Tribolium castaneum: one gene and its partner. The protein of the gene in region 1 purifies or fractionates together with the protein of each later gene. This does not show direct contact. Links are inferred from orthologs where the notes say so. Each region holds a gene or a part of one and is shown in the gene's direction. Other genes may lie near its edges.

The links.
Region 2: the proteins of homologous-pairing protein 2 homolog (region 1) and meiotic nuclear division protein 1 homolog purify together in Homo sapiens (co-immunoprecipitation; 6 studies listed by BioGRID and IntAct, counting the BioPlex papers as one, with this or other methods). This does not show direct contact. The link is inferred for Tribolium castaneum from reciprocal best matches to the Homo sapiens genes PSMC3IP and MND1.

What each region holds. Positions count from the first base shown.
Region 1 is NC_087396.1:15,589,069-15,604,712, forward strand, and holds the end of homologous-pairing protein 2 homolog, read left to right. Parts: exon of another isoform or gene 1-40; coding exon of another isoform or gene 41-44; exon of another isoform or gene 45-313; intron 314-515; exon of another isoform or gene 516-517; coding exon of another isoform or gene 518-944; intron 945-1,015; coding exon of another isoform or gene 1,016-1,122; intron 1,123-1,168; coding exon of another isoform or gene 1,169-1,273; intron 1,274-1,322; coding exon of another isoform or gene 1,323-1,449; intron 1,450-1,499; coding exon of another isoform or gene 1,500-1,664; intron 1,665-1,718; coding exon of another isoform or gene 1,719-1,845; intron 1,846-1,876; exon of another isoform or gene 1,877-2,115; coding exon of another isoform or gene 2,116-2,171; exon of another isoform or gene 2,172-2,363; coding exon of another isoform or gene 2,364-2,374; intron 2,375-2,414; coding exon of another isoform or gene 2,415-2,467; intron 2,468-2,531; coding exon of another isoform or gene 2,532-2,674; intron 2,675-2,695; coding exon 2,696-3,308; 3' UTR 3,309-3,314; downstream 3,315-15,644. Other genes in the region: sona (A disintegrin and metalloproteinase with thrombospondin motifs like), read right to left, coding at 518-944, 1,016-1,122, 1,169-1,273, 1,323-1,449, 1,500-1,664, 1,719-1,845, 2,116-2,171, 2,532-2,674 and 5 more. UniProt on the Homo sapiens protein: Plays an important role in meiotic recombination. Stimulates DMC1-mediated strand exchange required for pairing homologous chromosomes during meiosis.
Region 2 is NC_087399.1:6,490,477-6,506,026, forward strand, and holds meiotic nuclear division protein 1 homolog, read left to right. Parts: upstream 1-7,701; 5' UTR 7,702-7,840; intron 7,841-7,895; exon of another isoform or gene 7,896-7,980; coding exon of another isoform or gene 7,981-8,167; intron 8,168-8,188; 5' UTR 8,189-8,194; coding exon 8,195-8,421; intron 8,422-8,882; coding exon 8,883-9,264; 3' UTR 9,265-9,311; coding exon of another isoform or gene 9,312-9,346; 3' UTR 9,347-9,407; downstream 9,408-15,550. Other genes in the region: Ube4B (ubiquitin conjugation factor E4 B), read left to right, coding at 3,450-3,771, 3,824-3,885; heix (ubiA prenyltransferase domain-containing protein 1 homolog), read right to left, coding at 6,491-7,471; Tfb5 (general transcription factor IIH subunit 5), read right to left, coding at 7,981-8,167, 9,312-9,346; hydroxyacyl-coenzyme A dehydrogenase, mitochondrial, read left to right, coding at 9,884-9,997, 10,052-10,628, 12,352-12,590; Ipk2 (inositol polyphosphate multikinase), read left to right, coding at 14,703-14,889, 14,942-15,240, 15,285-15,420. UniProt on the Homo sapiens protein: Required for proper homologous chromosome pairing and efficient cross-over and intragenic recombination during meiosis.

The sequences.
Region 1 (15,644 bases):
TCACACCTTAAATTTACGTATTTGTGTGTTGCTTATTCCCTTAACTGGAAAAGAAATACAAAGTAAGATTAGTTTTTTGTTCAAAAACCGTCACAAGTCGGAAAAACAAGATTCAACAAAGTCAGAGGGGACCATCCTTAGCAATTCACAAAAGGTTTGTTCCAACCACAATTCTGAACCATTCGGAAGTGCAAACTAAGTTGAGTTCGGAGCTGTGGTTGGAACAAGTGATTGCTAGGTGGCCCAAGTAAGTTCACAAAAATGAGAGTAAATAATTGGTGTTTTATTGGTAGTACACAAGGAAGGATAAAGTGTAAGTGTAATAAAGTCTGTATGGTTTGTGTTAATAGCGTCATTTATCGAGATAATAAATTTGACATAAGAATCGAAGGGGAAAGTTTTACTTTCACGACTATACAAAGAACAGAGATTGAAATAAGCTGTGAACACGTAAATACCATGCTGATTAATTACGACGATTACAGGATGACGTATGGCGATTAACAAAGTCTTACCCTTATCTTCCCCTATTAAACACGGCACTTTTATTTCTTACATTGCTACTATCGCTGTAATAATTAGCGGTATTGTACGACCGCTTCAAGTAATTGTTATTAATGTCGTAATTGTTTCTTCCAAAATTAGCGAAATCGTACGGATTCTTAGTGGTCTGTAGCCTCAACTGATAATAATTACCGACATACGGATTAGGGGTTGTTTGACTGTAATAAGATTCAGTGGTTTGGTAGGGATTTTTACTAGTGTACTGCCTAGCGAAATCGTTAAAATCGTAAGGAGACTTGGTGGTAGAAAACTGATAAAACTGTCTCGGAGTGGTGTAGGGGTTGTATGAGGGTGGGTTCGGGTTGTAGGGGGGTGTCGTGTAATCGTAATATTTCGGTGTTTCGGGTCTTTGATTAACTTCTTCGTCGTCCTCGTGAAACCTGTCGTAAGTGTAAATCATGTTAATTGTGTCACAAACAACCGGCGATAATCGGCAATGAAACAAACTTACAAAGGCCGACCCTGGTTGTTTCCGCTTCGGATGTAAGACGGTGTGTTCTGCGTATAATCGGGGATTATGTTCTCGTGCTCAGCCACGCATCGACCATTCAAACAATACTGAAACAGGATTTTTTAACGAACGAAAAACTTAAGCGGGACTTACTTGGCCGTCACCACAAGGTGAACCTTCAGCCGCGGGCCGGTAGGCCACGCAATAGCCGCTACTGGCGTCGAAACAGAAGAGTTGGGCGCAGACCCGGTCGTCTTTCTACAATTCAACACCTCAACCAAAGTTTTATCCCATTAGACTAACTTACAAAACATGCACTTGTTCCCCTGTCTCTACGACATTGGGCGTCGAGAGTGAGGAGTTTCCCTGGGAGGACTCTTGGCAAACTGTCGTCTTCGTGGGGCACGTTGTAGAGACAGGTGGCAGTGTCACCACTACACAACCATCAATCAATAGGAAAAATTTTGGTTAAATTGTGACTTACTTGAGGAAATGGTGGAAACTGGAGACACTGCAAGGGGACCACCGGAAGCCCCGCTCCGTGTGTCTCAAATCGGACATGATGTACCCGTCCGTCCATTGGCATTTTTCGGCCCCTGGGCCCCCGAGGTACGACGGTGGAGGGCTTCCGTCATGTACTGCTCCTAGTCTATAGTGGGGAAAAATTTAGTTGAGGATTTTTAGTTTGGGGTTTGAATCTTACAAATGTCCCACTTCGTGAGCCGCGACTATAATTCCGCTGAAGCCACCTGTGTCTTCAATGATGGCAACAGAATTGACCTTTTCTAGTCTTTTGTTGACCACGCATGCACCTCCGACGTACGCAAACCCTATTTAGAGTCACATTAGAACAAAGTTTTTTGGAAAAAATCCCATCACCAGAAGAGCCTGAAGCAGTTCTGTGCAGTCTCACAAAACTCGAACCACCATCAACAAACAATTAGTTTGGTTAAATGAATTAGTCAAGTTAGAGTTTGTGTGTCATGTAATGTGGATGGGGTTATAGAGCGGGCGTGGTAATCGAAACGGGGTGCCAAAACACTACATCGAGAAAATTCAACTCGGAATCTACAAGTGATCGTGCCTTTATCTGTTCGTACCTGCCGTGCCGCGATTGCAGACATCGTTGGGGTACGACCTTCTGCACATGTCTAGTCTGTAAAAAACACACCCGGTCATATATGGTTAAATGTGTGATTTGTGTGTTTTGTTGTTATTTACTCCTCAGCTCCAGAGCGACTATACCTAAAGAACAATTAACAAAAACACGGACGCCTAAACACCACAATCGTCACATTTTGCGTGTCAGACATTTAGTTAGAACGATTAGTCCGGATCTTGTTGGTGTATGCGATCCGGGTTAGTAGCAGCAATTTACACGCGATTTAATTTTTATTACCGGCAGTTCCTTTGGTGCAGCGGCCGCCTTTTCGACGTCGACACATATCGTACCTAAGTCAAAGTGGTTAAAATCTGACAAAAACAAACCAAAAATAAGTTCCCGCGTTATACTGACTTTGTAATCGCGACGGCGATGTCGTACACCGGGAGCCGCCGTTCCCTGAAGAGGTACTTCCCCATGTCCGTCAAAGCCGCCGCCGAGTCGATGGCGTCCCTCCCCACCCGGTTGCGTTCCAGATACGGAGTTGCATCCCGCCCCTAAAACAAATGTTATTTCAGGATCATGGACGAAATCCTCCAGTTTTTGTACGACCAGAACCGACCCTACACCATCAACAACATAATGGAAGGGTTCAACAAACAACTCAGTAAGAGTCAAGTTGTTTCAGCTGTTAACAAGCTAGTTGAGAAGAACAAAGTGATTGAGAAGAACTGTGGCAAACAAAAAATATACTGCGTGCCGCAAAAATCGTCACTGCCTTTGAAAGACTTGACGTCCAAAACGTTCGAAATGGAGCGCCAGTGTAGCAATCTTGCTGCAACCCTCAAAACCGTTCAGAACGAATTGGAGGAGAAGAGCGCCCGTTTGCGAGATTTGGAAGGAACGTTGAGCAAGGTTGAGCTATTGGAGAAGAAGAAGAAGCTGGAAGAAGAGGTTGAAGAAATGGAGTCGAAACTAGAAGGTGGTACTAGCGAGTCGCTCGATAAAGAGAAAATCGAGAGGGAATACCGGACCGTATTTAAAGAATACAATAAACGGAAGAGATGGTGCACGGACATGATCGAGGCCATTTTCGAAAATTACCCCAAATCGAAGAAAACTCTCCTCGAAGACATCGGGATCGAGACCGATGATGATGTTAATTTCAAAGTTAAGGTTTCAATAAAGTGAACTTACCCTACTTATTATAATCCCCGCTATTGATATCCTAATTTTTGGTCCTTTGAGGAGTTTGTATCTCATGTCTACGCCGTTCCAGAACGAGACGAAATACCGTTTGATTTGTAAATTGTCGCCCCCATGCAGCCTATACCCGTCGTAGTCTACTATGACTAAAATTTCGGGGTAGATGGTGTATGGGGCCTCCCTTTTCTTGCGCGAGGTGCTCCTTTTGTGTCTTTTGGCCAAATGGTCGGGCTCCATCAAGGCTAAATAGTGAATAAGTACCGCTCAATATGCAAATGCTTCTTACCGTAATCGCTCATTGTATCTTCATGATTTCCGTTCCTTTTGTACACTATGTGTCGATGCCCTTGGATCTTTTGCTTTTTTCTCTTGATAGGCAGCCCCGTGTCGATTGCAACTTCCGAGCTGAGCTCGCCGTCCGCGTCCAGGAACATTTCGTCATCGTCGTGCGTGGGCTTGTCTTTCGCGTCCAGCAGCCGCGGAGGGATGGGCCGTATGACCAAATCGGCCCCGATGCTACCCTCCTGCAATGCAAACAATCGGCTTGCGCAAAAGTGTCGAAAAGAGCATTTCCTAACGCGCGTTACCCAACTAATAACATAAATAAGCAATTATGGGTCAATTGATGTGAGGCCGTTCGTTGCAAACGCACATATTCTGGTCAAGGTGAAGACACTAAAATTCGCATTGTGTTCGAAGAAAAAATACATGTGCGAGACAATAACGCACCGGACCTTCACTTACTAGCCGTGACTTTTTTGAGCGCCGAAAGAGTTCAAGAGTGTTGAGGTAAGCGCGACCCTTCATGGGACACGGATGGTCAACAGCGACCTTGAACTTCTTCTCCGGCTTTGGGATGGGCGAGAGGTCAATGATGAGCAATAAAACCGACGGATAAATCGGTCAAGAGACATTTCGACGTGCGAGAAGAGGAACATGGTTGGCAAGGTTTTTCGATAGTTGTGCGAACATGTGGAAGCTGATAGCTGTAATTAGCGGGACGTGTGCGGCGTTATTTAAAATGATTGCACGCGGGTTGATTGATTGGAATTACGAAAGCGAGACTTGACAGGATTTGTAAAACACTTGGCTGTTAATTAGCCATTATTTCCCATTGTTTTGCTCGGTTCGCTTGGGAGTGACATACTCGTAAATTTAATTTTAATTTGTGATACACGAATAATTAAAACGCCATAAACTGCGAGTATAATAAGCGCATAACATAAATTACCCAATTATATTGTCTTATTTGAATGATATATTTTATCCACTTTCCAAATAAATTATAAGTACATTTAATTGGCGCCGTTAATGCTAATTCACAACTTGTAAAATTAGTGACCGGAAAAATATGCATTATTGGTTTATCATCGTCGTAAATTATATGTTTACACATTTACACATGTTGCCTTTTCGCGCTTTTAGAAACTCCAATAAAGGTGTTATTGTCAGTCCGTATGATTTTACTTCCTGGTAATTCTGATATTCTAATGTATCTATAAGATTTATTGATTGACAAGAAACACTGACTTTTTTCTATTGCACAGCATAGTAATATTAGTAGCCAAACGGGTTTTATTACTCCTTGGTATTTTTAAATTATGCAATATTATAAACTAAATTACATTGAGAATAAAAAGTATTGTCATAAATTATCACTGGTGCTAAAATTAATCCGTGTTGCGACACTGCTTGTTGCAGTTTTTATATTTTCTTTGTATACAATTTAAACAGTATTAAGAAAATTATCATCTTTAACGCTATTATTATTATAATCACTGAAATTTGCTTAGTCCTGCGGGTTAACTTTAATGTAATTATAATATCTAGATCGACATGATACTAAACACTGTAATTTTTTATATCTTTTAAAATCTAGGTGTAATTAGAGATTTAGTAATGCCATGTACTTGTACGGGAAGGTTAAAACAATAATGCTCACTTAAATTATTTCATAAGAATAATTTGTTTAATAAAATAATTTTTCTTCGATAACGTTTGGGAAAATACTTGAAAAACTCTATAGGTAGTTAGTTCAAACTATTGAACATTTACGAGTACTTTTTCTCACACTTAATCGCAATGGGCACTAGTTAAATTAGTTATTTTTATAAACAACTCGGTCAGCAAGTTGATAGAACTAGCATATTGTGTATTTTAACTGAGATTAAGTCGTGACTATAATCTTGGACATGTCAAAGACACAAAGCTAATAAAAGAAATTTTCTCTCTCCACAATGGACATACTCGTAATAAGCGAGTACTGTCCAAGTTACAAAAAATGCTCCTTCAAAAAAGTCCGGAAGACCATAACTCTATCTTTAATCGTTTAGGTTTCAATCGCTTTTAAGTTTTCTCCCGGCACCGTATTTGAGTTTTTTGAAAAAAATATGAGCGCTTATTTTAAAACTTTTAGGGCCGGTTTATAGAAAGCCTCATCAAACTTTAATTCGTTGTTAAAAGTTAATAACGCGAGTTGACCAATCAAATTGGCTCAATTTGGTCACGTGATCACGCATTTAATTGTGAATTAAATTAATGACGCTTCTATAAACCGGTCTTTAATATTTTTTTCGTGTGTTTTTCTCAGCTTATATTACGACTTATTGGCCCTGCAATTTTTCCAAAGAATTAGGGCCGGTTTATAGAAGCGTCATTGATTTAATCTGCAATTAAATGCGTGATTAACTGGTCACGTGACCATATTCGACCAATTTGAATTTTTTTAACAACGGATTAAATTTTAACAAAGCTTTTTCAAACCGGCCCTTAGTGAACTAGTTTAATGTGAAATAATTTGGGGGCCAACGCTGAAAGCGCCCTTATTTTTACTCGTTTTGTTTTCCCGTATTTAATCCTTTCTCACAATTAAATGTGCTTTTAGTTAAAGCGCTGTACGGTCCAACTTTACTGTAGTTGTTTAATTTATCGCTTACTTATTTTATCAATTAAAGAATCAATTAATTAGGAGCAAAAAATGCGAATACGCTGTGAAAAATGTACAAATATGTATGTTAGAAATGATTGCGTGATTGCCATTCTTGTCTTAGAAGTGTGCTAATTACTCTGTTACTTTATGACCCAACCAAATCCTTCAGAGTCGAGCAAAACTGTTTTAAGTTTTATTCTCGATTTTATTCTTTTTAGGAAAAGAAACTCAACAGATTTAAAAATCATTAGAACTACTGACTAATGATTACAATAGGTGTTGACTAACTTTTTGTCTCGATTTTTTTAGTTAACTGCCTTGGTGGTGTGTTAACAAGTTAATAGTTTTTGCAATATTTATTGAAAACCTCGTTGAAAAATTAGAAGTGGATCATGTTTCGACCATTTGATAGTTCAAAGGTTAAGTAAAAAAACGTGATCAGTTGGTCACCTTTAGCCGTATAGCTTTCCCATTAGCTCTGATCGGGCAACGAAATTTCTGTATCAAACTATTCACGTTAATTAACATTGACAGTTTGAAACCAGATACAGCGACCCGGAGACTCCTTAATTTTACATAAATTGACCTTTTTGTGTGATGATTTTACAAGATTTTATCTCTGACTAATTTACAGCACGACAGAGTGCAACTTTCAGTATTGATGGAGTAATTGGGGTCCTTTATACGATTCGAGATTTGATAAGTTCAAACGTCCAAAACCGCAGCTAATTGACGAAAACGTATTATTCGGCCCATCCACCGTGAGAACGTTTCTCCTTATGCAACTCCGGTCTCATCATGAAATGTCAATAAAGGATCTAATTCTCCGGTTGCACAGCTTTAGCCATTAGAAATTACCCGTACCGAATTGTCCCGATAAAAAACCCACCTTGTTGTTTTCACTTTCAGTGACATTATTTGTGCAACGCATTTCCTGTCCGCCGTTTATTACCTTGCTTTGACCAATAAATAGCTCTTGTTTTTCCGATTTTTTTCCTTGTTACAATTACTTCTGTTGTATTTTCGCCTTTCGATTGCCAGTATGGAAATTTCGGCCCAGTTTATCTTGACCGCAACGTTGGTAACGAGTTGGCCACTTGGAACCGATCTCGTTGTGCAATATCATGCTCGATTAATAATTTTAATTATCGCAATTTGCCGTTGCTGTTACTTGCTTTTACGTAAAACGACAGAAAGGCCAAGGTTCTGCATCAGACTTACCACAATCACGGTATCGTTGTGGTTCCTCAGCAAAATGGCAGCTTGGTTTTCCTCGTCTTGGTAGATATCGCCGATATCTTCGTCAGTCTGAAAACAGAAGAGATTTATTCATTCGGCAAGGCTTGACCGGCTTTGTTCGCTTTGTTTGAGTTATTTCCGATATCGGTGAAATGTAACCCAACTGGCGCATAAACTAGCGACAGGAATGCAGGAACGCAACTCAAACAAGTAGATTTATGTAAAATGCCCGCTCCGTAATGGTTTACTACACGGTGACGGGAAGGCATTCGTTTTTTCGAATTACCAAAATATTTGCAGCATGATTTTCCATCTTCTAGTATGTGCCAACAACTATATACTAAAGAATTATTTGTCTACAACCATTGAATAAACATGGCATTTGGCGACTTGGTACACGAAACTCTCGACGAAACTAAATATTTACATTTCGCCTGGCCGTAGAATAGTTATTTAGTTTTAGTTATTTTGCTGATTGAAAAAGCTCGAAGAAAATCAAAGAAATCAACTACAGAAAGCGTAGTTATGTTTCGTGCCATATTTGTCTATTTTATTTAAATGTTAGTTACATATGCACTATTTCCTGTGCATTTACTTTTACTTACAATTAATTAATTTCGGAATTAATCATTATCCAGAAGTAAAAATTTTTTTATTGATAATAGTGAAACTTAAGTTAAGAAACCTTCCTATAGTGTCACTGTGTGAATGAGAACCATCTGTGTACGTACAATATGTTCCTGAATAAATTTTAATTCATTTACAATGTTTGATAGCTTTATTACGTTTGATCATATATCTAAACTGTGAATTTTAGTTTCTAATAATGGAAGTTATTAATATTTCATAAGATATGATGCTATTTTTACGTGAACTACGTTTTTACATTTCAATGCTATTTTAAATAGAAGGTATGACTATTATAATAACTGTTGCTGTAATTACAAATGTACAATAAAGGAAAAATCAAAATGTTTAGTGTTATTTAATATTTGTGGTTGACATTTCCGATATATTATTACATCGATGACACGCACAAATAACTTTATGATAGAGGTATTATATAAACATTATTGAAGATATAATAGAACCATTCAGATTCTTTTGTTTTTTTTTCTTTCACACCTTTGGTAATGCAGATGGGAGTGGAAGCATAATGGGAGTAAAGTAACGAATTCAGAAATATTGATTAGGAGTGAGTTTTGTTTTGAACTACTAGTTTATTATTAGATTCAGTGAATCAGAATAAGTTAAAGGCAAGTGTTATTGGTTGTGAATTCAAGCTAAAGTTTTTTGACAACATATATTATGCTAACATGGACCACTGATGTACATAATAATCTAATAAATTTTTAATGTTACCATATTTTTGTAATATTTTACATTATTTAATTTTTGAATACTGGAAGGAAATTTATATTGTTATTATAACCCAAGGATTCTTCATTATTCGTTAGCTTTTACACTTTTCCAGAAAAACACTTCTTGTTTAAATGAAAGAACTTTATCTTGATACTAAGGGGTTTCAGCTACCTATACGACTTTGTCAAAAAAATAGTTTTATTTTCAGTTTATTAATAACACTTCCGAGGCTACGTATTTCAGAAATGAAGAGAAAAGTCAATTATACAAATAATTTTGCAATTTTTGTTTCTATTTAATTTCCAGTTACAGTTAAATACTGAGATCTATGAATTTTACTTAAAGGGAACAAATCAGAAATGTGATGAAACATCTTTCATTACTTTTGCAATGTTCACGATATTTTCATTTTGCCGAGTGAATTATGTTCACCTGCACAAGTCGTAAATTATGCATTAAATTGTGATTGATTATGTCTTATTTCAACTGGAATTTGTGCCACGAAAATGCTTTTTCTCGTATATTTTTAAGAGGTCAGAAATTATTACCATGTAAGTGCTAATCCGCAGTTTATGAAGGTTTCTAACCCCGTTAAAAATTAAAAGTACGAGCTGTTTGTTGTACGGAAAACATCACGGTGTTTTGACGAAGGTTGGTCGTAAACCTCAAAGATTTAATAGATAATGCTTATAAAAATGCAAAAGTTAGGATCAATGACACTACTTAAAACTTACAAGCGTACAGTCTCGGATAAAAATCAAATAAAAATATAAGGTCTGAGCATATAAATATTTAACTTTTCATATCTGTATCCTGTTGGTTAATTTAAATAATCAATACATTTACCGTCTTCTAATAGCTAGAGGAATCAGGATAGAACTTTATTTAATAAAACATTGTTATTGCAATCAGCAAAGCCAATAAGCAATAAATATTGGAGAGATTTTATAACGAAATAACATGTTCGTAAATAGAGAAAGTTCTTCGGCAAGGTTTGTGCCGCTATGAACCCAAATAATTTTCATAATCCTGTTATATTCGTAAAAATAGATTTTAGTGGCAAACGTAGGTTTTTCACAACAGGTAACAATTTTCACTCTGCTTTTACAAAGAAACTTAAAATAGGAATTAAAGAATAAAATAACAATCAAATTATCATACATTTATGCTTGAATAACTTGTTTAAACTGTTATTAAATGGGAGTAGTTAACTTTTTGGACAATTAACGTTGCTGGAATTATGAGAATAATCTAAGTGTCGAGCAAATTAAAGGCAATTTTAGCACAAATCATGCATAATTGATTTTCCGAGTTGCAACGTGACTATAATCTATTACCTAGATGAGGAGGATTGTATGAATTTCAAACGAATTTTTTAGCTTTTTTGAATACGTAAAGGAATTTTAATTGATTTTCATTGTTGGGACATGTACCTGTCTTTGACACGCTGACATAATTTTGTCGTATAAATTCAAGTCTGAAACTAGCTTGTTATACATTCCTAGCAATTTCGTAGCTTGTTTTTGGCTAAAATATTGTCATTTCTATTGAAAATGTCAAGATCATGGCTTTATCGCCTAGGTGTTGGCCACCTGTCTCGGATGTCTGATATTTCCAGAACCGAACGTATCTAAAGTGCACATCCTGTAGCATTGATACGTATTTCCACACGCCACTTTCAAAAAATCCAAACGAACCATTTGTTCGTTCTGTAATTCGCGCAACATGGCAATTTACGTAAACAAGAAACATAAGTTACATGTCTCGATTTTAAAGCCCGTACGCCCCCAAGCCACCTTTAACATCGTACTCATGGGGCCTGCTTGCGAAACTAGGTTTATTTTCGTCATTAATTAACCGTCAAAATTGCAGAACAATGGATTTCGTCGTGTGACTGTAATAAAATCCGTGACAAAGCTCGCATTGTGACGGTTTCAGAAATGGAGGGTGTCGGCAAGACTGAATCAATTGGCAATCGAAGGTCCGTCACACCTCCCAAACAATCAGCGATGATAAAAAACTGACGAATCCTTGACCGAGCCCTGAGCTATTTTCGTTTTCCTCTCGGTGAAGTTTGTCTGTTGCTATAACAGAATACCTACGAGAGTGAAAGCTGTTAGCTAACCTAATGGCGTTTGACCTAGTTGGGATTTGCTTATGGGATTTGCCAGCCTGACATTGGGACGGCTTGTACGAAAATTCCAACCGACATGACACTCAAAAATCTGTTAAAATCTCTGCTCGTCTTCGTTTCGGCGGAGGTGAGCTACATCGTCAGGGTCATTGTCGCCCGATTATAATTATAAGCCAATAAGGAAACTATTCCCCACAAGGCCCAAAAAATGCACTGATGATTCAATCCGTGGCGGTTTCAGTTGGCCAACAGACATCACGCTCGATTGCACATTATTTTTCGATCCGATTGAAAAATTCACTTCTCCACAATGCTTCAAGAGAAAAAAAGCACGACCTTAGCCACGGCATGAAATAATTGTCCTTCAAAATCGACGCTGATGTAAACAAAAATTTTTACCATAACCTTCTATAAAAAGACGTACTTCACAAGCGGTGGAAATTTTAGTACGAGGAAGCGAGATAAAAAGGAACTTTCTTATTGCACTTTTCGGTTATTCAACGATTTTGCGAAATTATTTTAAGTAATTTTATTAGCATACAGCTTTTTTATTGTTGAGTTGCAATGATTCGATAATGGGACGGTTATGGTGGTTCAGTCGCGATTTTTGATGGTTTCGATTGCAAATTGAACAGGTCTAAGGCTAAATTGCTTCGAATTGACTGACTGTTTCCTCATCGGCTTCTCAAATGATTCCCTTTCATCCTCACTTTTACATAATTATTTTCTTGCCCATTTTTCTTTCAATATACTGCGATACATTTTCTTTTTTTACTAAACAAATACAAATAATCACAGTAGTAAACTTGACAAACCGAAACATCTGTTTCAAATATCAGTAAAATCAGTGAAATTTGGAATTATTTTGACTTTTGCTTCTACAGCTTTTCATGACCTTTTCCTATCATAGTCCAGAATGTATCAGATTCATTTCAGAAAGTAGCGAATGTTTTTCAGATTAGTCAATCGTATTTTAGGAAATATTCAATTATACTTTCTGAACTTCATTTGATTTATCTGAAATACTATTGGCTATTCTGAAACTGTAATACAGTTGGAAAAGGTGTAGAAAGCTAGTCTTAAAAATTCTTTCGTAGCATTTGGCATTTATATTTATTTGAATTAGATAAACAACAATGGAAACATAGCTTGCAGCGTTTTTTTTTTGTATACAGACGTACTTACTGAGCATCCTGTTCTATGCAATTATATTGGGAAGATATCTTATTTTAGAGGAACAACAAAACTTTATTATTAATATTTTAATCGATGAATTTCATTCATTTTTTCGACCGAATTTAGTGATAATTAAAATATTTATACCTATGTTAATCAACTATTGCCATCATCAGATAAAAATTTTTGAAACATTAAATTCAGTCAAATTAGACAAAAATAAGGCGATCTGTGTAAAAAAATTCCTAGAGAGTTGAATTTTTTTTAAAAGCTTTCTTTACACTTGGCAGGAGGCTGTCTTTTTTGTTTTTTTGATTATATCTCGGAAACGATCACTCCTAGCAATTTTTATCTTCTTACCAAAATTAAAGTTGATAAATTTTTTTACAAAATGGTCCTAGTCTTATTGTTGTAGGACTAACCGTAGGTGAGCTACTAGCTTTTGAAATTTGGTGTCTACATGACACTGGATTATTAAACATTAGTATATCATAAGTATTTATATGGAAATAGTGTATGTAAAGCGTCCCCAACTAAACTAAGAAAGGGAAATAAGGAAGAAAAATACTTTCTTTTCTCGGGCTCTCTAGTTGAAGACCAAAATTCCGCATGTAAGGATAACCCAGAGATTTAATAGAATTTCTTTCCAGTCCTATAATTCGCTTATGGTTATTCCTACAAGAAAAATGCATAAGACGTTTTTGTAGGAAATTTTAACAGCTTTAATTTTGATAAGAAGAGTGATTCTTTCCGAGTTATAAGCGAAAAACTAAAAAAGACAGCTTAACCCCCTCCCCTTCTTCGAGCTTGCCACGCACCCTTGGGGACTTTCTATATTTGTCTACCCAAGTGTAAAAGAAACGTTTAAAAAAATTCAACTTTCTGGGATTTTTTTCCACAGAATGGTGGAATTTGAATGGGCTATTATTTAAAAGTGATTTTTGGAATTAAACCAAAACTAAATACAGCAATAGAATTAACATGTTATGTCTGTAACATTACCAAAAATTGTTATATAAAAGTTAAAAAGGATGGAATGTAACTCTTTGAAGGAAACAATAATTTGGCTTTTAATTTTTCAAATAATTTTTGCTTAACTATGTCACAGATACACCCTTAATACGTCTTTTTCGCCATATAGAAGAATATTCACTAGTAACTTAATAAATTTGTCAATAAAAAATTAATGAGTAATGGCTTATTATTTATTACAAAATAAAGAAAAGCGTTAACGATATAATAAATCTTGTACTTCCTATAGCATAACAAAATGTACCTAACTAATTTGTTACAGAGGGAATTAATAATATCTAATAATTAAATTATTATATCTTATTAGTGAAGAGTCATTGAGTGATTGTATAATGAAGCATTTTACTTAAAATATTTATAGTTTTACCAGCAATACATTAATGAGTTGTTTAAATAAAAAAATTATTGGAATTGAAACCGAAAGAGATTGCATTTTCGCGTAATTCTGAGTTAGTAAGAAGTCAACGTCTGAGACGCAAGAATTAATTTTTTTTTGCCATTAATTTTCTAGTTTTATTATTAAAAAAATTGTCTAGTGGCTGATCTTACAAAATGATTTAATTATTTCATTATATTGATTGCACGGCTACCATTTCTCGATAAACAATTAAGCTTGCTTATAAGAAACATTTAGATATTATGTTTATTAATAAAGAAATCACAAAACTGATAGGAAACGGAACAACCTTCGTCCGGTCTATTCACACTAAAATTCTTGTTTATTAACATGCAGACGTCTTTTGTTGTTTACTTACAATGAATCACAAAGTTTATATTGCAGTTAATATACTGTGGTGAAGCCAACCTTTTAGCTCGTAATCGACTTAGTCAAGTTATTAAGGCCACTGAAACCTTCTATGGTGAAAAATAAAAATTCTCTCTATAATAATTTTATGCGTCAAATATTTAAATTAAATTAGCCATTAGAATGTCTTAACGATCACTTCCCCCTTCATTTAATGACTTGTCATTATTTTACATCCGCAACAAACGATATTATTTTCGATGCACCTGAATTTCTCCCGGTTTCTAGTGCAAAGTTGACGAGATAATTGTTCAATTTTCTGCAGTCTGGCTGCATTTGAGTTGGTCCGTCTCACCCGGAAAATTATTCGTGTTTCGCGGAAAGGTCATGAAACCTATTCGAATAAAATAACAATTTTAACATTTCTTATTAAAACAACAATATCACGTGTTTCATCATCGCTTATGACTATTTATAAAAATTCGACACTAATCTATTGTTACTGAAGCTATTTTTAAGATTAAAATCGACAGAAATCACATTTATAAATATTTATTTTCGGTTTTTTCCCAACAAGGACATCTACTTTTTCGCTTAATTCAATAACCCGACAGACCCACCGGAGACAATGTCATAATAAGGCACTTTATTTACCCAAAAATGCGATTTTCTCACGAGATTACGTACGGAAACGGCGGCATTATTAGTCAAAGTGAAAGGCGCTTCAGTTTATCCGTTTAACACGACACTTTTAATTTCCGAAAGAGTCATCAACAAGAAGGTGCACACGTACCTCGGGCAGTTCAACATATTCGACCCCATGTTGGGCTGTGGCGTTCGGTTCCACCGTCCATATCTTCAATTTATTCTTCTTGTAAAGTCCACGGTTCGGGATTAGAGTTAGGTTCAAGTGTTTGCCGAAGACTTTCAGTTTCAGTTCGGTTTTCCTATCTTCGTATTTCGGCTTCTCGTCCGTATCTATCGAATTCTCGGTGTCTGATGGAATGTCCCGCGAGATGCTCCGTCTAACGTTATGGTGGATGTGAACCACTTCGTATTCTGGTACTGAAATTTAAATAGGAATCGTAACATATTGGCAGATTTGATTTTATTATTGACCAACTCAACAACCGCGAAATGACACAGCTACAGAATATGACTCTTCATTATACAGAAATGCACGGATCATTAAAATTATGGTAGAAAGTTGTGCTTTTCCCGCAAGTAGCGTAAAAAAATTACATAATGGATTAACGTTAAAAATCTCAAATTGCCAAATAAATATCGAAACTGAGCATCGAAACGGCTGTCTAGCCGATGTAGACATCGACAGCCAAGACCCAGATCGAGTGAGATGTGGTTTATTTGCAAAATACAAAACCAAAGTTGCATTGGATTTTAAATAAGGCTATAGTGAGGAAAGAAAATTAGTTGCAATTTTTCAAAGCAAATTGTGAACGATTGTAAAATTTTCTGTCTGTAGTTAAAAATCTCATGTCATTTAACAAAAATTTGCAACTTAAATATCGTAAAATGAACGAATGATGATTTTTATTCACAACTGTTTACAACTTCCGTTGTGTTTTGTTTTCTGATGTAAATAGCTGACTGAATGTCAGAGTGTTTCTCCTATAATTAGGTACAAAAATGCTCCAGGTCTATTGTGACGATACGTCACGTCGTATCACTCACCTAAGTCATGTC
Region 2 (15,550 bases), on another chromosome or scaffold:
GAAAAAATGTGAGGAGGCGAAGTCTAGCTAGTGTTATTCAACTTAACCTCTCTCAAAACAAAACATAAACTATGAAATATAACCCAAAATTAACTAAAACTAGAATAATTTCAAAGAGAAAATCAACCGAGAATAAACAGAAAATTATATAATTTTTTTAAAGTAAGGTGAAAAGAAATAAAGTATTAATAGAAATAATAATACAAAATGGAAAAACAAAACAGCAAAAGAACAATTACCAAAATAATAAATATTTCAACTTTATTTGTTTTTTAAGTAACTTTACTAGTTTTGACTTCAAAAGACTGTAAAAAACAGAACATCGACAGCCGGCAGACATGACGTAGACTTACATTGTGCAGAAGTTTTCACTTTAGGTAAAAATATGTTAAGGAGAGTGAATCATAACTGCCATCAAACAAAATGAAAATCAAGTTTTAACCAATTTATGTATTTAAAGTTTTTTAATTTTAGAGAAATATGATCTTATTTCTTAAGTTTGAAAATAAATGTACAATTATTTTAAATTTTTTGTAAGCAAGTTTTGTAATTAGAGCCAAGACAAGGGTAAAAAAGTGTGAGACAATAATTTATAATTGGTAATACAAGTGTTTCACAGAGTTTTTTTTCTTAATTTGAAATCAATTATAGATACTATGGTTTGGGTTTAGTAGACGCAAACACACGTAACTATTTTTTACCAAAAGAGAGACATGACATTTGAAACGTAATTCTTGATCAAAACCAACGCCCATTAATTTTATACTTTTGACAATTTTTAATTTAGAATTTTCAAAATGTATGTTTAGATCAACGTCATTTAATTTACAATAAGGGCCCTAAAACGGAGCCTTGGGGTACCCCTAAAGTAAGTCTTCCACAGTATGATAATAAATTATTCAGTTGAACAATAAACAGAATTTTAAACAGTTTTACTAAAAACCCATAAACTTAAGTTTGGCACAAAGCAATGAATTATTTGTTTTATCAAAAGTCCACTAATGACAATGCAGTATATCCAGTAACAGTGTATCTGATAGTTATCTAAAGTATTAGTTAATGAAGCATTTGTACTGAAACCTTTTCTAAACCCCGATTGGGAAGAAGGAAGAATATTATGAAAAATATAATTTAATTCTTTACAGATTTCTCCCGAACATTTTTCTTGTATCTTTAACTGATTCGCAAAATACGGGACGAGGCGCAAATTTTAAATCTTTAATAATTTTTCCCATGTTTCTTATAAAAATTTAGCCACCAGTTTTTCTCAGTCTCTCAAGAATGCAAAGCTTAACATCTCTACAGTAATTAGTGATTTGGTTGGATTTCAATAAGTTTAAAACGAAGCGCCCTCATTTTTACTCTGCCGTACTATTTTTTGCATACAGAAAATCCATCAAGTTAGTCCTCCGTGTCATGATAATTGATTTAATTTACGGTTCTAGGAATAATGCGCTGTTTAAATAGTAAGCAAGTTTTGTAATTAGAGCCAAGACAAGGGTAAAAAAGTGTGAGACAATAATTTATAATTGGTAATACAAGTGTTTCACAGAGTTTTTTTTCTTAATTTGAAATCAATTATACTATGGTTTGGGTTTAGTAGACGCAAACACACGTAACTATTTTTTACCAAAAGAGAGACATGACATTTGAAACGTAATTCTTGATCAAAAACAACGCCCGTTAATTTTATACTTTTGGCAATTTTTAATTTAGAAATTTCAAAATGTATGTTTAGATCAATGTCCTTTAATTTACAATAAGGGCCCTAAAACGGAGCCTTGGGGTACCCCTGAAGTAAGTCTTCCACAGTATGATAATAACTTATTCAGTTGAACCATAAACAGAATTTTAAATAGTTTTACTAAAAACCCATAACCTTAAGTTGGGCACAAAGCAATGAATTATTTATTTTAACAAAAGTCCACTAATGACAATGCAGTATTTAAACCAGTAACAGTGTATCTGATAGTTATCTAAAATATTAGTTAATGAAGCATTTGTACTAAAACCTTTTCTAAACCCCGATTGGGAAGAAGGAAGAATATTACGAAAAATATCACGTAAATGCCAAGGAATATGGGAGTTTTCACGAGATTTTAAACCAACATTTTTTACTTTTTCCACAACATTTTATTAATCTTATTTAGAAAAGCCGTTTTCTTGGTCTCGCGGACTTTTCTAAAAGAAATTTAATTCTTTAAAGATTTCTCCCAAACAGCGTCTTAAAAAAACAGGACGAGGCGCAAATTTTAAATCTTTAATAATTTTTCCCATGTTTCTTATAAAAATTTTAGCCACCAGTTTTTCTCAGTCTCTCAAGAATGCAAAGCTTAACACCATTTATTTAAACAATAAGTTTAAAACGAAGCGCCCTCATTTTTACTCTGCCGTACTATTTTTTGCATACAGAAAATCTATCAACTTAGTCCTCCGTAACATGATAATTGATTTAATTTACGGTTCTAGGAATAATGCGCTGTTTAAATAGTAAGCAAGTTTTGTAATTAGAGCCAATACAAGGGTAAAAAAGTGTGAGACAATAATTTATAATTGATAATACAAGTGTTTCACAGAGTTTTTTTTCTTAATTTGAAATCAATTATACTATGGTTTGGGTTTAGTAGACGCAAACACACGTAACTATTTTTTACCATAAGAGAGACATGACATTTGAAACGTAATTCTTGATCAAAACCAACGCCCATTAATTTTATACTTTTGACAATTTTTAATTTAGAATTTTCAAAATGTATGTTTAGATCAACGTCATTTAATTTACAATAAGGGCCCTAAAACGGAGCCTTGGGGTACCCCTGAAGTAAGTCTTCCACAGTATGATAATAAATTGTTCAGTTGAACCATAAACAGAATTTTAAACAGTTTTACTAAAAACCCATAAACTTAAGTTTGGCACAAAGCAATGAATTATTTATTTTATCAAAAGTCCATTAATGATAATGCAGTGTTTAAACCAGTAACAGTGTATCTGATAGTTATCTAAAATATTAGTTAATGAAGCATTTGTACTGAAACCTTTTCTAAACCCCGATTGGGAAGAAGGAAGAATATTACGAAAAATATCACGTAAATGCCAGGGAATATGGGAGTTTTCACGAGATTTTAAACCAAAATTTTTAACTTTTTCCACAACATTTTATTAATCTCCCAAACAGCGTCTTAAAAAAAAACAGGACGAGGCGCAAATTTTAAATCTTTAATAATTTTTCCCATGTTTCTTATAAAAATTTTAGCCACCAGTTTTTCTCAGTCTCTCAAGAATGCAAAGCTTAACATCATTTATTTAAACAATAAGTTTAAAACGAAGCGCCCTCATTTTTACTCTGCCGTACTATTTTTTGCATACAGAAAATCTATCAAGCTAGTCCTCCGTAACATGATAATTGATTTAATTTACGGTTCTAGGAATAATACGCTGTTCTTTGCAGAGATCTTTCCGGAAAGATTTGTTTGACGACGCAGCGGCGCGATTAGAGCGCCTGTCAATCAAAACTCCGGTTGAGATCGAACGGTTTAAGGCCTTGGCCGATAAGGCGTATCACGTGTATCAAAATAACCAGAAAAGTGATGACTGGATGAGCGACGCCCCTGACGAATTCAAGGATCCCTTAATGGACACTTTGATGACTGATCCTGTGTTGTTGCCCAGTGGGCAGGTGATGGACAGGTCCGTCATTATGAGGCATTTGTTGAATAGCAGTACGGACCCGTTTAATCGGCAACCATTGACTGAAGATATGCTGCAGCCAGGTTAGTTTCAAGTTGCTTTTTCGTAGGGGAATTAAAAATTTGGATGTTGCAGTGAATGAGTTGAAGGAGCGCATTAGGATATGGAAATCAGAAAAGACACGTTCGGCAAATTAATTTTATTATTTTTTGGTATAAATATAATTTTTGGATAAAACTGAGTTTATTTCGACCGGAAGGAAGGAAGGCTGAGAATCTCGTTTCGTTTGCATTTGTTCCTCAAATTCATACTGCCAAATTGTTGCTTTTTTAGTTCAGTAATTAATGCCAACTTATTGTTTGTCTTGACTTTCCCCCAGTCCGGTGGATTATTTTTGTACATAATTATACAAAACGCAAAGTGAGATGTACATTTTTTTCATCTAATCGAATTAACTGTTAGTGCAAACAAATTTGATTGTTTCCCGATATTTTTTCTAGATAATTTTAGGTTAAAGCTTGTAGACACCGAAATAATCAAATTTATTTGTAATGAAAACAAAGCAAAACAATTTTTATATGAAAACGTAGGTTAGTTTGTATGTAATGGGTCAATAAAATTTATACAAAAATCAGATATGTGTTTTCGTAAAAGCCCTATCATGCAATACTGTCTCGGTAACTAGAGGTTTGTCCGACAAAACAGCTCGTAAGTAAAAAACGGTTCAGGACTAAAACTTCCGCAGGAACAAACCTGTAAATCCCACTAGACCAACAATTTTAAATGCTATGATTGTGCTATTATCACTACCGAAAATTGTGCTAAAGGCTGTCCCTGACGCGCTTTGAATAATTGATTAAGTCATAAGCCCCGAACAAGCCGCCAGGTGGCCAACCCACACACTACGAATAAATTATTTGATATTTTTACGCAGACTTTTCCGTTATTGTCAATTGAAGTAGTCTGAGCAGTGACTGGAAGAGATGCGATTGCAGCGCCCCCAAACGTCAAATGGCGCCTACTACCACTACCAAGCGTTTCGTTTAATATTAGTCTAGACACACAAAATAAAAACAAACGGAAATTATAATGATTTACTATAAAATCTCTTACACAACGTCATACAAAACTCATCAACATTAACAATAAATTAATCAGCTATAAAAATACATGATTTATAATTGGCCAATCAGGGACTAAACCCCGCCTTGAAAGAGCCAATCACCTGATTAGGTTCAGTCACGACCAGAAAGAATGTCACCCCTACGAACCACAGCAATGATCTTTTAGGTCATAAATGTAAATTTCACATCATCGAGTGTTTTCTCGACTATTAGATTTTAGGCCCCAATGATATTAAAATCGTATAATATACATGTAATTAGAGTCGGCGTACAGAAAACAAGTTAAAATTTATTCCAACGTTAAATTAATTCAAAGTAAGTTACCATTTACCTTGCATTGACAAAGTCAATCTATAGGAGTATGTTCATATTTGAAAACTAAAACAGTGAATTTATAATTAATTCCAATAATAATTTTTCATTTAAAATTTAAAAAATTGTTTCTAAGCAAACATAATAGTTATTTAACTATTTGGCATTTTTCAATACGAAATGTCTGACTATTCTAACAGATTTAAAGCAATTTCAAGCCTTGTTGAGTCAAATTCGAAAAATAAATGTTGTATTCAACTCGTTTTCATGTAAATCGATTAATAAAATAATTTTTTTTATTACGAATATATAGAATTGGCCAGCAAATATCGAATTTACCTTTGCAAAGTCAAATCAGTCAAAAATCTGTTGCTTCAAAACTGTAAAGTTTACTTTAAATTTTGAGGTTTCCAATTTTTTTTTTAATTTGGCCAAATAAATGAATTTCTAGCTTAAAAGTGTAAATTTTGCAAAACCTTTAACTTTGTACACATTTTCTGTGAAATAATTTTTCCACGGCCAACATGGCTGCTTTATCCGGCTCGAAGGACCAAATATTAGTAAGTTCATATTGATAGAATCCATAAATGGAGAAACATCGTTATTATTTTTTGCAACCGTTTTGAATAAAGAAAAATTCCAGCCGAGGCGAAGCCGAGTTTCTTTAACAACTTGCGGTTAAAAACGGATGATTCGTTTTAAGTAAGACCCCATTTTCGGTTTGTCTGTGAGCGACTTCGTCCTTTTGTATAATCACTTTTTTTTAGAATTTTATTGGTAAATACTTGACAAAAGACTAGGACTTTTAGAAACATTAAATTAAAGGCAAAATTTCTAACAAAAAAAAGATTATTTAAAGATAAGTAAAAATTTATAACAAAAATGTTTCAAAAAATAGAGGGTACTATTTAAAATTTTAAATTAAAAGTGGCTAACAACTGGAACAGAATGTAACTAACGTTGGTTTTGAACTTTAGTACACCTACTTTTGTTTAAAAATAAGTAAATAAGTACTACTTAAAAAGCTAACACATTACGTAATACAGTTTTGATCATACTTGGAGTAAATAGACTACATTTATTAATTTACACGATTAGAATATCGTTGATGTTACAAAAGTAAAAACCCGAAATCATGTTTATTGACGTTTACGACCCAACAGTTTATAGGGATGACATTCTTTATGATCGTGACTGTTCATTGTCATAAGTACAATAATCTCGACGTAACAAACGAAAATGAGAAGGTATTGCGGCTTGGACCCCAAGCCGCAAACCCGCACTAGCGCCCCCTTTTGACGCAGTTCCTCAACACAGTAAAAAATAACTTAATAGAAATAAATACAACTAATAAGAGCTCGTACATCTATCTTTTGGTGACGTACGGCAGCGCTGGAACCAAACTACAGGCCAGCACGTACAAAACACCGAAAAACAAATTCAATTTGGCAGTCTTTTTGGGCACACTGTGTATATCGTTGGATCTGAACTGTTTTTCGATTTTAAAAGCGCTAGGAAGCGTGACTAGAGGCAACATGAACCATTTCGAGTATTTCAACGAGGCCACCATGAACATGATATACGGGGTGAACAACAAAAACGCGTACAAGACGTGCGAGGCAGTGTGGCCGATAATAATCGCCAGAGTCACAATTCCCACCTTTTTGTCCGACTCAGAGTCCCTTGTGTTATTACTATGTAAAATCGCCTCAGTATTAAGGGCCAGAGGGATGGCGTAGTAAATCGTCGCCCACTCGACGCGCCCCGTTTGCGACATGAAGGCGAAAAGCACCGAAATGGGGCCGAACAAAATCAAAATAAGCACATCCCCGAGGGCTATATACTTGAAGCCTATACCTCCCGTGTAGAGGAAGCTCGACGACAGCCCCCCGAAATAGACCAAAGCCAAGTGCTCCATCTTCGCGGGGCTCAACGCCGCCAAGAGAATGAACCCCACACAGCCGGCAAAGTATAAAAGGGCCCCCAGAGACACCACCTCGTCTTTGGTCAGAATGTGGTCCACCAGGATCCGGTCGTCCGATTTCCGGTTGTCGATCCCCTTGACGTAGTCGAAGTAGGTGTTGACGACGTTTCCGGCGCCGTGCACCGACACCACGGTGAAAATTGTGAGCAGGAGGGTGGCGTAGTTGAAATCGGTAACTCCGGGGTATTTGTACGCTATGGTGGAGCCCAACAGTGTGGGCATGAGACTGGCACTGAGGGACCACGGACGCAAGGCTAGCACGTAACTTGATAGCTTCATGAGGCCCGATTTTTGGCCGTTTTGGCGCTTGGGAGTGGTGGAGCCATTGGTGAGGAGTTTCTCGCTGGGGGTGGGCACCGTCATGATGGGGGTAAATGCACTGACACGGAACTTAACACACTTGATGATTTGTGGCCGAGAAACGCGTTTTTTCGTTTTATAACTTTGACAAACGGAACATAACCAAAGAAGTCAATTGTGACGTTTGACATGTGGCTGTGGTTACGTCACGGCGGCTATTAAATCAGGGAAAAATTATAATTAGTGACACGTTTCCGTTATCTATTGCTTAATTCTATTCTTATCATTTGTGTGTAAAAATGTTCGTGATGGCGTAACAACTGTAGAATAGTCGGTTATCAAAGAAGCGTAATTGTAGCCACTTCCAATTTACAGGGAACTGTATTATTTGTACCGACAATTTGAAAAAACAGTTAATTAGTGCCTTATTGCGTAAGTATGGACGAAAACCGGCCCGCAACGATATTATTTATAGCAAAACACGTCATTATATAAATGCTGCGCTTTTTATTTATAATTCGAATGACCACACATCAATATGACATAACCTCACTTTTGCAAATTACAAAAAATTAATTGCTTTTTTCGGCGACTGGGAAGCTAATTTGGTCCATCAGATCGTCGATTTTTGCCTGTAATGTCTCTAAAATATCGGCTGAAATAAATAAGTGGTTTTCATCCAAGTCCTGAATTATGAATTTTCGGCCTAGTTTTGTAGTCTCATCTAAATACAAAAGGAATTGTTTCATGGCCTGGTCACTGAAACAACGCATTTTTTAGGGGAAAATGTTCAAGAAAAAAGGTCTAAGTTTTGAGGAGAAAAAGGCTAGGATGTTGCAATTGTTTCACGAGACTGGGGATTTTTATCAAATGAATGAATTGGAAATAATTGCGCCAAAGGAGAAAGGAATTACGGCGAATTCTGTGAAAGAAGTGGTCCAAGCTTTGGTGGATGATGGTTCTGTTGATAAGGATAAGATCGGGAGTTCCGTCTACTTTTGGGCTTTTCCCAGGTAAATATTATACAGGGTGTCCGTTTTTTTGAGAAGTTGTGCATTTGTATGCAAAACAATTTCTGAAAGAAAATTTTATGTGCCATTTTTAGTTTTTGAATTATTGAGAGAAATTTAAAAAAATGATTTTCGTTTTTATTTTTTTCCCATAAAAAAAACGAAGTTAAGTGTTGTAACTCTGACATCAAGCAAGCCTAGGAAAATCCGATGACAAATTTAGATTCCTTGTAAAAAGTGCCCGAAAAAGTCCTACGTCTAGTTCTTTTGGTTTTCACTTGAAAAAATAAAAACGAAAATTACAATTTTTTTTTTCAAATAATTGTTCAGCATAAAAATGCGCAACTTTGCCCTAATTTAACCGACCTCGTATCTCTTATAATAACGGAGATCACTGAGATAACTGGGAGAGTGTCCGAAAAACGGTATAGACGGGCCAAAAACACGTTTTATCCTAATTACAGCAAATTACTTAACGCGAAAAAACGCAAACTTAACGAGCTTCAAACGAAATTAGAATCGTCAACAAAAAAATTGAAATTAATTGACGAAACTATGGAAAAAGCGCAGGTGGGGAAAGAGAATTGGGACGACAGCCAGATTTTGAAGGAAATTGAAAAACTGGAAAAACAGAAAGAAAAATTCGAATCTCTGTCGAAATCTCACACAGATACTCAAAATTTGAAATTAATGCAAAGTGAGATAAAACCGGTAAAAGAAGCAGCAAATCGATGGACTGATAATATCTTCGCGGTCAAATCATGGTGCAAAAGGAAGTTTATGATGGAAGATAAGGTTTTAAATAAGCAGTTTGGGATTCCCGGAGATTTGGATTATCTGGCATGATTGAGGTTATGTCAAACAAAAACTCAAAAAAATTGTTAGGGCCTTACCAGGTCACCAAAACGCCTTTCATTACATTAACCATTGTTGATAATCGAGAATTGTGTACTTTTTTAAATCAGAAATAAATTATTTTTCTTACAAAAGTTGGTGTTTTTATGACATTTGACAACTTATAGAATGCAACTAACCTCTCACACGTGTATTGCTGATTGCATAATCACAAATTTCCCCAAAATTATATTTTTTTTCAAGTATTTCTTTGAAAAAAGTGGATAAATTGATAACAGGGATTGCTATATAGCCCCATTTTGGAACCCTCCTGTGTACCACTTGACTGAATGATGTTGCACTTTTATTACATAATACCTAAATAAATTCAGGTACAAAAGTCGCACTCGTTATCGAAAGCGGATTATTTTTAAACCATCGGCACGATGATTTTCACTTCTGAGCCCTAATCTCGCCATAAACGATAAAATGATTAAAAAGTACACAAACGTAGCGGTGGGAGTCGATCATAGGTTACAAACTTGGACTTTCACCTAGTTATTGTATCGTTAATAAACCAAACAAAATCCGCATTACACACCACTTTTTACTCGTAACCGAACGCGAAAAAATGGCCCTAAACCTGTTCATCAAGCGAAGCCTTTCAACTTCAAGCCCCATGAACGCAGTTATAAAAAACGTAACTGTGATCGGGGGCGGCCTCATGGGCTCAGGCATCGCCCAAGTAAGTGTACCCCAAACCACCCGAACCTAACCTAACATTCGCCCCCTTGCTTAGGTGGCCGCGCAAACCGGCCACAACGTGACCATCGTGGAAGTCAACCCCGACTTGATCAAAAAAGCCGAAGACAGCATTGCGAAAAACTTGGTACGAGTCGCCAAAAAACTCCACAAGGATGACCCGCAAGCCGCTAATAAATTCGTGAGCGAATCGCAGGCCCGGATTAAGGGGTGCACCGACATTGCCGAAGCTGTGAAAGACAGCGATTTGGTCGTGGAGGCGATTGTTGAAAACATGGATGTTAAGCACAAATTGTTCAAAAATTTGGATGAGGTCGCGCCCCCCAAAACCATGTTTGCGTCAAATACGAGCTCGCTCTCGATTACCGAAATTGCCTCCGTTACGAAGAGGAAGGATAGGTTCGGGGGGCTGCATTTTTTCAATCCCGTGCCCGTTATGAAGCTTTTGGAGGTTGTTAGGACTCCGGAGACGTCGCAGGAGACGTACGAGGCCTTTATGGCGTGGGGCAAAGCCGTGGGCAAGACCTGCGTCACCTGCAAGGACACCCCCGGGTTTATTGTTAACAGGCTTCTGGTGCCCTATATAGCAGAAGCCATCAGGATGATGGAGAGAGGTAATAATTATGTAATATTGAAGCTCGAAGCGAAGCTGAGAGCTTTAAGGTTGCCAAGCTTGTGGCAAATACAGGCGTTCAATAAATCTGATACGACTTGAGTTACACAAAACGAAATGAATTTTTGAAAATATTTTTATTGCCAATAAGGCTCTACGAATGGAAAATAAATCGAGTTATAAAATACCGAAAAATTCTTCAGACTTCAGACTGTCAAGATGAAATTTAGGATTTTTTTTCCAAGTAAATTTATGTCAACCCGGTTTTTTTTCTTATTGGATTTTGAGGTTTTTTTCAAAAACTTAGCAAAATCTACTGGTGAAACAACATTATGATTAAGAACTATGTATTTGTTGAAGGTCATTTTTCAAAAAAATCCTCGAACAGGTCGAGCTTATTTTTGTAAATGCTACATGGTAACATTTGTGACATCACTGGTTTCTCAATAATGCCGCTATTTTTAATTTTTTTAAATGGGAATCGATATTTTTGGTTACTGTTTTTTATAGTAGATATTACTCTTTTATCTTTATAGTAAGTGCAAAAAATTGAAGTGATAAATAAAAAATTTAGAAAAAAAAAAAATTTTATAAGGGGCGATTATTTTTTTGCTTATTTTGAAAAATCAGAATAATATGAATTTTATGCGTTACTTTAGACACACTCTATATATCCAAAAATGCACAATATAGGGTGTTTTATTTAAAAAATATATAAATTTGCATTGTACCTAACATTTTTTGCTAATCTTTTATTGAAATATTTTAACATAACGACAGTTAAAGTTTGATTCAATAACTTAACCTTCACCAATATAAAAAAAATTAGCTGAAAACAATACTATCTTATAATGTTATATATTTTTTCTACTCCCATTCCTGAAGTGATTGATTAAAAATGTTTGTGACCTGTACTTTAATGAAAATCATTATGATACTGGCTTGTAACCAATGGTAATGCAGAGTAGTGACCACGAGGACAACTTGTGACCAATGAGAATGTAACATGGCAGCAACTATTAGATTGCCTTGAGTCTGACTTTAAAAATAAATTAATCATTTTGAAAAAAAATGCAAGTCTTTTAATTTTAATCAGTCGGATCGTAAAAAAATAGTGTATGTAACTCGCATTTAATTTAAAACACTCGTACGACACTCGCTAAGGCTCGTTTCATAAAGTTGCTATTTAAGTTGCATTAACCAATGTCAAATTACTAAGTATTCTGTTAATCATATACTAAAATTTGATTTTTAATTTTGTGGAAAAACAAATGTTTGAAAATTTCAATACACAAAATCGTTAATCTCGTTTCTAATTTTCTTTTTATAAAAACCCGATTTTTAAAATTTTACTATGAATTAATATTTTATTTTAGGTTTGTTATGTAAGCGAGCTAAATTTTTAAATTACATTTAAATAAATAATTAATATGTGATCAATGTTGTGGCAAATAAAGTTTTTCTAATTGTTAGTTAAAAAATTTGTAATTTGTATAGTTTCATTTTCAAAAAAATTTGCATACATAATTTTTAGAAATTTCTCAATATCGGTAAGTAGTACTTTATGAAGGCAAATACTAGTCAAGACAGTAACATCTCTAAATAAAAAAAATAAGGAAAACGGCATTACCTTACTATTTTTTTTAACGGCAGTATACAGTAATTACAAGTCAAAATTTTGAAAGGCTGTTAACACAAAAAATATGTATGAATTTTTTTCGAAGGTGATGCTTCGCCCCGCGATATCGACACCGCCATGAAGCTGGGGGCTGGCTACCCCATGGGCCCCATCGAACTGGCCGACTACGTGGGACATGACACCTCGCACGCCATCATGCAAGGCTGGCACAAGAAATTCCCTGATAACCCCCTTTTCAAACCGAACGAATCCGTACAAAAACTAATCGATGAGAAAAAACTGGGCGTGAAAACCGGCGAAGGCTTCTACAAATACACCAAATAAATATCTATATGTATTTTAATCAAATAAACAATTTTTTAATTGATTTGTTTACTGATGTCGATTTTTCCTCGTGTAAAATACTGTTGGCAAAGCCGCGAAGGTTCGATCGGATGTCATTCATGCCGTTCTATTTTCGTAAACCGAGTGATTTATTTTATTGAAAAGGTCTCCTCGAGTCGCAAAAAGTCAGTCATCGTTTTATTATCGTCGTATTGTCGCTATAAAAACACATCTTTAATGTGTGTTCTTAAAGTGGAGTGAAGGACGACTTAAAAATACATGCACAGAGATTGGGCGAATTAGCGGCGAGTACACGATTTTTTCGAGTAAATAAACTTTCGCGATTTCCGGTTGAAAAAACAATTAACACGTGGGTGCGAACGTTGATAACATTTCCGTGAAATCGCAGTCAATGCAATCGATACATCCTGTTTGAGGAGATGAGCGAAATTTATTTCGGCGGTAAGTTGAGGGCGGTTCTCGGTAATTCCCCTAATAAACACGTCATGGCAACAACAGACCTAAAAATCTAGTTCAAATTTCGCGCCACAATGCGTTGGCAATGAAAAAATTAAACAAACACTTGTGGTGTCAACAACAGTTGGCTAGATTAGCCGTTTCGTACAAATTGCCAACATAAATCGAGTGGGATTTTCTGGCGAAATTTCCATTTTTCATCACCGGAGAAAGGGAGTCAATTTTTTACTTCTATGGTTGGCGACAGTGCGCATGCGCCTTTTCGCGTATAAATAACTCGTCAAGGTGTCAAATTTGCACAAATCAAAGTGACGTGGTTTTGTTCACTGTGACGGTTCAAGATTCGCCCAAAACGGTTTTCTTTAAATAAAATGAACATCTTGCAGTGCTCTTTGTGCAAATTTGGTTACAAAATACGCAAATTTTGGTTCGAAGTTGAGTAGGTTAGTGGTTTTTGTGCCCTGGACTATCACCTGGAACTGGCCACATTTTTTATATTTTATGTTGTATTATTTTTTTGAGCTTGTGTTGGATCAAATTACATATTTATAGCGTCAAAGACCCCGCTAATTGTGTTCAGGGAAAAAGTGAATCATATTCTAAAAATATTCGTGAAATAATTTTTTTTTCATATTTTTTATTCGGGGGAAAGGTCGCGAAGGGGCTGTTGACCTCCGAACAAGCGCCTAACGGTCGTGACAATTGCACTTTTTACAAATAATTGCAATTATCAGAGTGACCTATTAAATTCGCCGATTTTTATACCGGGTGTTCTGGGAAAGTTATTAGAAAGCGTCTGATAAGGATTCATGTTGCAAACTTTGTCCCTAATAAATCTAATTCAAGTCAAGTTTAAGGCTCCCAAATTATGTCACTGGAAGATTTCGCCGACTCTCTTAGGCGCAAAATTTATTACTTGGCTTTAGTCATCAAGGTGACATTTTCCTTCATTTGCCAACGAGTTTTATTGTTGGAAAATATTTAATTTATCTCGGCCCCGATAATGAAAATACCTTAACGAGATTATTCAAGGGTCAACTATGTCTTGTTGAATAAACATTGCATTTTATTATGCAATTGAAAAACGTTTATCCTGAAACGTTAAAATAACAATCGAGTGATTGTTATGATAAGCGAGGCACTCAAGCGAATTTATGATGATGTTATGCGCTAAGTGAGTGTTTAATCGATAAAAATAATTTTTGTTTGCAATTCTAAAAGGATTAGGGGACATAAATTTGGCACCCACGAATTTGGTTCCCCACTTGGCCATGATAAAACAATTACCATGCATCTTACAAGCTTTTGTTAAATTCAGGGCCAACCAATATTAAATTATTTTGCAGTCATGGCGCGCGTGTAATTGTTTCGAACCCTTTGCAATGTGGCTCAGTTGGCCGTGAGAAATCGAAAGTTGCATCTGTCATTAGATTGTACCCACACGATGAGAAAAAAATAAACAAAAGTGACATTTGATAGGTCACAGCCGCCTCGAAATCGAAAGTTGCGTCAGGTCATAGCCGCCTCGACTTATCGCTTAATTCCTTTCAATTTGCGAAAAATTAATAACCCCGGCTTAATAATCGCATTTATCACATTTATGGTTGTTTTAGCCGATCAGATAAGCTTGAAAAAATGGGAAAATCAGAAGTCGTACCAATGCCAATTCATAAACAAGACAGCTTGTACGCGGGCTGTAAAGGTGCCGCCTTTTCGCTCGTTGATCCAGTGGAAGAAGATGAAGAGTATCTAGAGATCCCTGCCGATATGCAATTGTTCGAAAATCAAGTGGCGGGTCATATGATCAAGGGAAAACAATACGGTAACCAGTGTGTACATGCGAAATGTTGAAATTTACAAAATTTGCAAAAAAGGTATGATTAAGCACAAGGGCACTGTACTTAAACCCATCACCAAGCCGAAGTGTGGCCAACGCGAGGTCGAGTTTTACGAAGAAGTTAGCAAAGCCAGCGATGAGACAAGAAGGGAGTTGAAGGATTTTGTCCCCAAGTACTTCGGGACGGTTAAAGTGCCCATCAAGGGCACGGAAATCGACTGCATAGTGCTTGAAGATCTGACGAAACATTACAAAGAGCCCTGCGTCATGGACATCAAGATCGGGAGAAGGACGTGGGACCCCACAGCCACTTATGAGAAAATCGTCAATGAAGAGGTAACCGGCATTGGAAAAACGGCAAAAATTAATTCAAATTTTAGGCAAAGTATCAAGACTCGAAGCGCGACCTCGCCTTCTGCATCCCAGGTTTTCAAGTCTATCAAATTTACAACAACCAGTTGGCCAAGTTTGACAAGAATTACGGAAAAACTCTTAATAAAGACACCGTTCCGTTAGGTTAGTAAGGTCAAAAGTGAGGTTAGGACTTACCGACCGGTTGATTGAATTTTCGCTTTGGAAGTGCCGTTTTCACATCCAGAACACGTCAATTTTCATTTTTCTTGTCACTAGCATACGTTTTCGTTGT